Daphnia pulex: one gene and its partner. The protein of the gene in region 2 purifies or fractionates together with the protein of the main gene of each other region. This does not show direct contact. Links are inferred from orthologs where the notes say so. Each region holds a gene or a part of one and is shown on either strand. Other genes may lie near its edges. The genes, in order: merlin-like and protein kibra-like.

Evidence for each region.
Region 1: the proteins of protein kibra-like (region 2) and merlin-like purify together in Drosophila melanogaster (affinity purification with western blotting; 3 studies listed by BioGRID). This does not show direct contact. The link is inferred for Daphnia pulex from reciprocal best matches to the Drosophila melanogaster genes kibra and Mer.

The regions. Positions count from the first base shown.
Region 1 is NC_060022.1:2,539,582-2,544,153, reverse strand, and holds the start of merlin-like, read left to right. Parts: upstream 1-1,582; 5' UTR 1,583-1,802; coding exon 1,803-1,889; intron 1,890-1,952; coding exon 1,953-2,082; intron 2,083-2,148; coding exon 2,149-2,354; intron 2,355-2,409; coding exon 2,410-2,534; intron 2,535-2,601; coding exon 2,602-2,704; intron 2,705-2,799; coding exon 2,800-3,009; intron 3,010-3,075; coding exon 3,076-3,182; intron 3,183-3,255; coding exon 3,256-3,385; intron 3,386-3,455; coding exon 3,456-3,587; intron 3,588-3,650; coding exon 3,651-3,902; intron 3,903-3,962; coding exon 3,963-4,279; intron 4,280-4,341; coding exon 4,342-4,501; intron 4,502-4,559; coding exon 4,560-4,572. Other genes in the region: N-acetylglucosaminyl-phosphatidylinositol de-N-acetylase-like, read left to right, coding at 1-61, 209-302, 380-479, 545-641, 717-847, 920-1,027. UniProt on the Drosophila melanogaster protein: Regulator of the Hippo/SWH (Sav/Wts/Hpo) signaling pathway, a signaling pathway that plays a pivotal role in organ size control and tumor suppression by restricting proliferation and promoting apoptosis.
Region 2 is NC_060020.1:3,560,734-3,565,193, reverse strand, and holds the start of protein kibra-like, read right to left. Parts: upstream 3,002-4,460; 5' UTR 2,530-3,001; coding exon 2,405-2,529; intron 1,949-2,404; coding exon 1,839-1,948; intron 1,760-1,838; coding exon 1,556-1,759; intron 1,418-1,555; coding exon 1,258-1,417; intron 1,179-1,257; coding exon 922-1,178; intron 846-921; coding exon 352-845; intron 289-351; coding exon 1-288. UniProt on the Drosophila melanogaster protein: Regulator of the Hippo/SWH (Sav/Wts/Hpo) signaling pathway, a signaling pathway that plays a pivotal role in organ size control and tumor suppression by restricting proliferation and promoting apoptosis.

The DNA of each region.
Region 1 (4,572 bases), on a different chromosome or scaffold from region 2:
AGTGATTCTTCGTCCAGGAAAAAGAAAGCAAAGGATATTTACATTCTTTGCTTGAGTGATGGTAAATCAATACTACATATCACTATTACTATACGCTTACATGAACTATAGCTTTTTCTTTGGACTCATATACTTGTCTGTTCGTTACTTGTGCTTAAATTCAAACGTTATAACAATATTTCTAATGTGTGAAATTCACTATTTCAAGGCAATGCTGATGGCTTAGGTAAAACAAGGAGAGAGGAACTAAAAAAAAGTTGCAAGATTCTTGGACTAGCTGATTCCAATATTATAATTCACAGGTAAAAATTCATTCAAACATTCATAAATTGTTGAAATTTCTTAAATTTTCTTAAATTTCTACATTATCTGTGAACAGTGGACCTCCTTTCTTTGAAGATGATCCACATTCTTTGTGGGATTTCAAATCAGTTGCAGATACTTTGAATATCTACATTGAAAAATTGAAAATTGACAGTGTAAGTATTTCAGGAATAGATTAATAGGCTTAACTAACAATACAATTTAATGCAATTTTTTATAGCTCATAACTTTTGATGAGAATGGAATCAGTGGCCACCTAAATCATAAATCGATTTATCAGGGGGTGTTGCAATTAAAGAAAGAAAGCAAAAAAAGAGGTATTTAAACTATATTATAGTGTGCATAATTAAATGTATTGATATTTAAAAGATCGTCTTTAATTTTTCCAACAGTTACTGTCCGAGTTTTCATTTTGGAAACGGTCAGTTTGTTTCGAAAATATTTGGGATTTATTGATTCGATTTTAATCAAACCTAGTGCATTAATCTGTACTGCCGATTGGGTTAATAGGATGAACATTCAGGTATTTTTTTAAACAGTTAATAATGTCAATTAAGACTTTTGCTAAATAAATTAATTATGTGTTCACGTTTAGAGAGCAATGGCAGCTCATGCTAGTCAATATGTTTGGTTTCGCCGTTTGTACATCATTTTTTCAAGATACTTATTCTTTAACACATTCATTCCCCTTGAAATTTACTAGCTTAGCTACTGCTTGTTGTCTCAGATATGCACCTGGAAGTGCGGTGGTTGGAAAATTTAAATCCTATCGATTCGATGCATTTTGGACACGGGTAAATTTACTCAGATTTTTTTGATCCCTTCAATTTTATGGATGTTTATAATTCCCTTAACAAAATACCTAGTCTTTTCTCTGGAGTGTGTAACATAAACAAAAAAGGGTATGTTGGCTCTTGTTTTTTTTTCCCTAATGAATTCTCACACGTGGCTGCTGTGTTTAACTTTATTGCATTTACTAAACAAAATTTAAAATATTGATGTTATCAGATGTTAGTGGTTGAAGTCAACAGTGCACGTAATGTATTATTTTTATTTGAATGAAAATGCAGTGAACAATAATACAATTTTGAAATTCGTCATACTCCTACTATACATGTATTCAACTATTTTCTAAAGCATGACATTTACGCTGTAATTTTGTGACGACCAGACATGAAATGTTTCTTTTTATAAAACTGAAGAAAAAAAAACGATTTCCCGCCAGTAGTTTCATGTTGTCCCGCCAGGGTCCAGATGGCTGTGCACTGTGGCAATAGTCAATAGATGGAAAATCCCATCGTCTGCAATCAAGCCTGTTTTTGTTCATTTTCCGTTGTTTTGTATCAGCTGAAAGAACAGTATTTGTTAATTCTGTGTTGATTCTACAAATGGAATGAATCAAAATGAAGACGTTTTCTAAGTTTTATAAGTTTTTGCATTAGATTTGTTTGATTAAGTTTAGGTCTCGGTGTGCTAAAATGAATTTCCGCCGGAAGCACAAATCGTCAAAATGTTTTCCAGTAAAAATTCTTACCCTAGACGCACAACTTGAATTCAACCTAGAGGTTTGTATTATTTATTCACATAATCATGTTCATGTAAAAAACTGACAATTATAACTCTTGTAGTGCAAAGCAAATGGAAGAGATTTATTTGATCTAGTGTGTCGAACTATTGGATTAAGGGAGACCTGGTATTTTGGGTTACAGTATGAAGACTGCAAAGGATTTCTGGCGTGGTTGAAAATGGATAGAAAAGGTGAGTGTTAATGCTTATTATGTGTCATTCACCTAATAACTGTTTGTATGGCCATAATATCTATAGTTCAGGACCAAGATGTGCCCAAAACAACTCCTGTGCCTTTTGTATTTTTGGCTAAGTTTTATCCCGAGAATGTGGCTGAAGAGCTGGTTCAAGAAATAACTCAACATTTGTTTTTCTTGCAAGTAAAGCAGAGTATACTCAACATGGATATATACTGTCCTCCTGAAATATCAGTCTTGCTTGCTTCATATGCTTTGCAAGCCAAGGTAATATTATTATATCTTGGGTGATTTTCCACAATTAATTTTTCCTTCCCATTAGTATGGTGATTATGATGAGGCAGCCATGAAACCTGGTCTCCTTGGTACAGAAGACTTACTGCCTAAGAGAGTTCTTGATCAGTATCAAATGACAGCTGAAATGTGGGAAGAAAGAATAAAAATTTGGTAATAAGGATCATCATTTCCATTTTAACCGTTTTATAGACTTAAGACTTTACTTTATGTTATATAGGTACGCGGATCATAAAGGTCTCAGTCGTGATGAGGCTGAAATGGAGTACTTGAGAATCGTACAGGATTTAGAAATGTATGGCGTTAACTATTTTCCTATAAAAGTGAGTTTAGAAACCCTAGCTAAAACTAAAATGCGTGTATATCTTGCATATTGTTAACTTGTTTTAATCTACAACTTATTATTCTATTTGAACAGAATAAAAGGGATTCCGAGTTGTGGCTTGGTGTTACGGCCCTCGGTCTGAATATTTACGAGCAGGATAACAAATCCGTACCGCGCATTAACTTTCCCTGGTCAGAGATCCAAAACATCAGCTATGACGACAAAAAGTTTGCCATTAAACCAGTCGACAAAACTGCACCCCCTTTTATTTTCTATTCGGATAAGCATCGAGTCAACAAATTGGTAATCCATGATTTTTACATAAATGAAAAAGGATAGCGAATTTTATTTCCGCATTTTTATGTCTAGATCTTAGATTTGTGTATTGGAAATCATGATCTCTTTATGCGTCGGAGGAAACCGGATTCAATTGAAGTTCAGCAAATGAAGGCTCAGGCTAAAGAAGAGAAACTCAGGTAAATTTGACCTTGACAAGTTTTGTCTTATTCATTGTTGAGTTCTTATTGTGGTTACTTTACCGTTTTTCAGACGACAGAGTGAAAGAAATAAGCTTGCACGAGAGAAGCAACTACGCGAAACAGCTGAACGTGAAAAAGCAGCCCTAGAACAACAGTTAATTCACTTTCAGGAAGAATTCCGTGTAGCGAACGAACAGTTGGTATGATATTCTTCAGTTTAATTTTTAGTTTTAGTATCAAGTACAGTATTTCATTATACCAATTTTGTAGAGGCGTTCCGAAGAGTCGGCTGAGCTGCTGGCCGAAAAGGCGCGAGTTGCAGAAGAAGAGTCAATGTTGTTAACTCAAAAAGCCTCAGACGCTGAACAAGAGTTGCAAAGAATTCGTTTATCTGCCATGAAAGTAAGTGAATTTTTTCATAACTTATTTAGGTAGCTTTACATTTAATTGTCTTTTTGCGTCTAGACCGAAGAGGAAAAACTTTTGTCTCAGAGACAATTACATGAGGCGAAGCAAATTGCCTCAAGGTTATTAGAGAATTCTGAGCGTTGTGCAGCAGAAGCAGAGCAGCTAAAAGGTGACCTTTTGCAGGCCCGTTACGCTGAAACTCAAGCCAAAAAGAAGCTACTAGAGTTTTTAACAACACAAGCTAGTGTTGCAGCCTTACACTCGGCATCTCGTCCAATTACACGCATCCCGTCGTCCGCGTCTGTCCTGGTACTTTGCAGTTTCTGTCAACATTTTAATGAGCGAATAACTACAATTACCATTTTTCAGTCTGTTCCCAACTTGTTTCCGACATCAAGTTCGTCGGTAGCTGGATCAGACCACCATTTACATCATCAGTCGGACATTCAGCAACATTTACGACGACTCGACGATGTCTCTAACGAAGCAAGTTTGCCGGCTTATGAGGCCCGCCTTCCTATTCCGCTGGCTAATCAGCTTACTGGCCTCACCAACTTAACTGGCTTAAGTAGTAGTGGATATCTATCAGCTATTGCTGCTTCCGAACTGGTCAACTCTTCATCCAACTATGACCTTATGACACATGGCGATATGGAGCAACTCTCACTTGAAATTGAGAAAGAGAGGTTGTAAATCTATCGTAGGAATTGTTGCGTAATTGTTTGCTCATTTTTTAAAATAAATTTAGAGTCGAATACTTGGAAAAATCGAAGCAACTGCAGGAGCAACTGAGAGAATTGCGTACAGAGATTGAAGTCTTGAAAGTAGGTGAAAAACAAACGCTTTACGATCAGCTACACGAAGAGCAACTCCGTTCAGGGGACGACAAATACTCAACTCTCAAAAAGGTACGCATGAATGAGAGTCATTAATTCAAATTTGAGTTAATTTTTCTTTTTTTCCTAGTCAAAATCTGGAT
Region 2 (4,460 bases):
AAAATTGATGCAACTAAGCAAATTAGGTGGTGCAACCAAGTTAGCATAGATAGCTTCTTGTTCGGACGTTTGCATGGAAACTGAGTTGGAATTAATATTATTATTTTCTCGATTGGCAAGGAGTCGTTCTACGCGACGGTGTAAGTCGGCCATGTTTACAACTGGTGAGCCAGATAATCCGCTTTCTCCAGGTGTATTGGCATGACCAGGCAAGGCCGCATTAGCCATGGCAGAGTATTGTGGTGGTCCATAGATATCAGTAAACGATAACACAGATGATAAAGAGCCCTTGAAACAAAAAAGAAACCCATAAATTATATGAGATTCAAAATCAATTCATGAGATAAGTACCTTGGACGATGCATGGCTCCTAGATGAAGTCGAAAGAGATCCTAAACTCGAACTACTTGACATGCTTAATGTGCTGGCAGATAGTGAACGGAGCTGCCCTTCTAAAAGTGCTACGTTGCGCAAAGCTAATCTCATTGATTGCAACAAAATTTGTTTTTCTTCGTGGAGTTTAAGTCGATCGGCTATAGTTCGATTAGAAGCTTCTAACGCTTGGCTAAGATCTTTCTCAAGCCGTTGAATCTTGGTTCGAACCGTTTCCATCTCGGTTTTGGAGCGCGACCTTGGTGCGATGCTGCGCAGTTCCCGCAGCAGTTGTTCTTTCTCCTGAATGAGCAGAAGTCGGTCTTTATCAGATTCACTCTGACCAGGAGCGATTCTATCCTCGAGTTCTGCCATTTTCTGTTGCAAGTATTGCAAATGTTTTCTTGCTTCGTCGTACTGAAGACGAGTTCGGGCCATTTCAGCCAAGCGTGTTCCGATTGGAGCTGATTCGCCTGAAAAAATGACAAATTTAGCGTAAAACTGATGATTTCCATTATTGTTTTTTTTTCTCCCCTAAATTAATCCTACCTGATAAATCTGTTTGGGAGGCTGTGCTAAATTTCTCTTGTGGAAGGGATAACGTTGATAAATCTGGAGACATGTCGTTGTTCAGCGGCTTCAGTCGGGTTAAATCGTCGCGCAACCGTGACAACGAAGCCATTAATTCTGCTTTTTCTTTCTCGCCGCTTGATAGCGAGTGTTGAATGTTGCGCAATTCAGCCATCATGGCTTGTGCTTCTTGCAATGTGTAACCACAAGGCAAAGAAGACAATTTAGTCTCAGCTCTGTCAAGTAAAGAAAATGAAAAGATTAAGATAGGTTCTATGACAATTAAGATATTCTTCCTTTAAAGAGCTAACTTACTGTGAAAGCATGTCGATACCCCGTTGCTGATAGGCGAATTCAGCTCTGGCAACATCTAAATCCCGGCGTAACCGGGCAACTCTATTTTTAGCTAAAGCCACATCGGCTTTTAACAAATCCGGATCAAATTTAGTGCTTGACCCACTGCTTGTGGAATTCACTGTAAAAAAAAATTATTCCGGATATTTATTATATTTGTTAGACAAAGAGGATGGGGGTGGGGTGGCAATGAGATGTTCTAACTAAGAAATATCCCAGCGCCTGTGACGTTACATTATCGAAGAAGAATTTCACTTACATGATGTTCGCGAAGCATCAAGCCCTGTGTAGGCATGGCGAAGTAGATGAAACTCATCTTGTGCAATAGTTAATCTTTGTTGTTTAATATCCAAGATCTCTTTCTTGGCTTCAAGGTCTTCTTTGGCAGTTTGAAGATATTCTTTCAGCATGGCTTCTTGTATAGACCTCCATTCTAGCCGAGGGTCTTCTAACTGATTGGTCTCTGAATAGGCAATTTAAACAATTGTTTGTTTGCTAGGTCATGTAACTCTTGACTCTTTTTTCTTTTTTTTTTTACTTACGGGTTATGTGGTTTGTGTAAAAAGGTCCAACCTGAGAGTCATATGATTCTTCCCAACCTAAAGGTAATTCATTTCCAACACAGTCTGCAAATGTTTGCGGCTTTATTAACCTAAATAAATACCAAAAAAAATCCAATACTTGATTAACACTAGACTTTATAAATAATTAACTATTATTTTAATTGCATATTTCTTTGGAATCTAACACTAATTTTAAAACACTATTTTTTCTATTAGGATTCAGTTGAATTTTAAATCAACAGATACTTGGAATGTTTAATTTACAATATGGACGTATAGGAAGTATGCGCAGCCAAAACAAGGATATAGCAGTTCAGTTCAACATTTGTTTTGGGGACATTTCTCATTTTTTTTCATGCATTTCCCAAAAGCTATGGCTCAACTTCAAAATAGAAGAAAAATAATCCAAAAGTTCATTGGAATTATTGTGTGTGGACTTGACAGCCATGTTAGCATTCCACAATCGACAACAGGTCTCAGCATCATTTGAAGGATGGGCCCAAAGAGAATAATTCAAATTAATAGTATCTGAAATGTTAACAAACCTGTCTCGAGGATCAACCCAAGTTGTTTTCTTGCTGTTGTGATCAATAAAGTACACTTTGCCATCGTAATCTCGACCAAGCTCCCATCCTTGAGGCAAAGGGATCTCACCATTACGCTTGGACATGTCGATGGCAATATTTCCAACAAAAGTACAACAAAGAACAGAAGAAAAATCATTCACTAACACATTCACGGTATATTCGACGCTGTTTTTGCACTGAAATGTCGAATGTTAGATGCAGAATTCTGAGCTTGAGTCAGGACGTCGAGAGTTTCATTTTGTAGATAGCAGCGCCATTTTATTTGTGACGTCATTGGAATGCGACCCATTATCATAACACAACATTTTCCCCAACGGTTTTTAAGTTCGCATTACCATGAATTTGCAGGAAAACCCAGAAATTGACCACGGTGTCTCAACAAGATGATATCGTTGAACTATTTCCAACACTTTTTAGGAGTGAAAATCACTTCTAAATGTCCAAAAATTCCAAGTTATGCCGAAACACCAATTCGAGCGAAGCTAAAGGTGCATTCCAGCTAGGAATTCCTCCTTCAATGTTAGACTCGACAATTTCGAAGCCAATAGTGCCCTCCTCCTACGGAACAGCAGATGTCGTTGTTCTCAGTAATAAACTGGGAAAAACGCAGAATATTTTCCTAATAATAATGTACCAGTCGCCAAACATGAACTGAAATCCTCGTACCAAATGGCTCGTGCTTTGAAAATTAAAGCTCTTTGTTCTCTCTATCAGTTCTAATCTTTGGCGCTTTACACCGTAATTATTTCCTTAATTCAGCGGAGATGGATGCATTTCTTCTTCACACGACAAAATAGAATTTTAAAAAAATAAAGAAGTAAGACGGAATTCATAACGAATAATTTTCATTGGCATGTTCTTAAGTGTAGGTTGACAGCAATTTTACGAAGATACTCTGCACTATTAAAGCCAAATGGAAATGGGAAGAACGCTGTTCGGCAGAGACCTAGACAAAAACGTCTAGGAATGTGCACTATCAACTATTCCCCTGCCGCTACCGCCGAGCCAAAAACAAATTATTTTTCTCCGTTCATACGGAATTTGGTTCGGCTAGTCTAAGTTTAATTTGCTTTGATAAATTATTCGAGGAGCATTGCATTGGCTATGAACATTTTTCAAATATTTTTTCAGTTACCTGTATAAAACTGATTATGAAATCCAATACAACAATGCGATAACTAGAGGTTGTTACGATTGGATCAACTTTATTTAAATATCAAGCACATTCGTAACACCAACTTGGCACAACGTATTTTCGAATTTTGTTTGTTTTTCGAGTCTGGAAGATAACAGGAAAAACCTCTATGTATGACATTGACATGCTCATCCCTTATCACGAGCAAATTAGTAAATTCTAAAATTACAGCTCACTCTTATAATCAGTGCAGCATATAAAATTTACTTTATACCTATTAACTTCGACTTTCGCCCCATTGTTAGTGATCAGAGACATAAATTTTTTCTCAGATGAATACAAACTGCAACAAAATATGATATAACCTTGAATAAAAAAGAGATAAGCCATGGGCCGTGGCTTTCCTCGAAGTCTAATAATGGCTCCGAATTAAAATTTTTTATGAGCGCAAAGCAGGAATTTGTGGGTTCGGCAGGCATTCTAGGCATGTGGTCGATATTTTAACCATGTTTATATGAGCTAGTAATTAATAAGTTGCAGAACCACCTAGCCTCAATGAGTACCGAGTTGAGTGTTCTCTCGTATTCTGCCACCGAAAACAGAAAATTCATTCTCCCATCCGAAAGAATGAGGCCATTGCGCAGCTCGGGATGAGAAAGAAAAACATGGCAATGATGCTTTCACCGATAACTTGATGTACAAGGCCGATTCTTTCTTTGGACAAGAGCCAATCATCTTTCAGTAACCATCTATGCCCACATAGCGGTAGGGAAAAGAACTCATCAATCAAATAGAACTCAATTAACGAAGATGGTGATGTTTTCCCATCGTTAATTCTTTTTTCATGAAATAGTACAACAAAATTTGACACTAAAATTT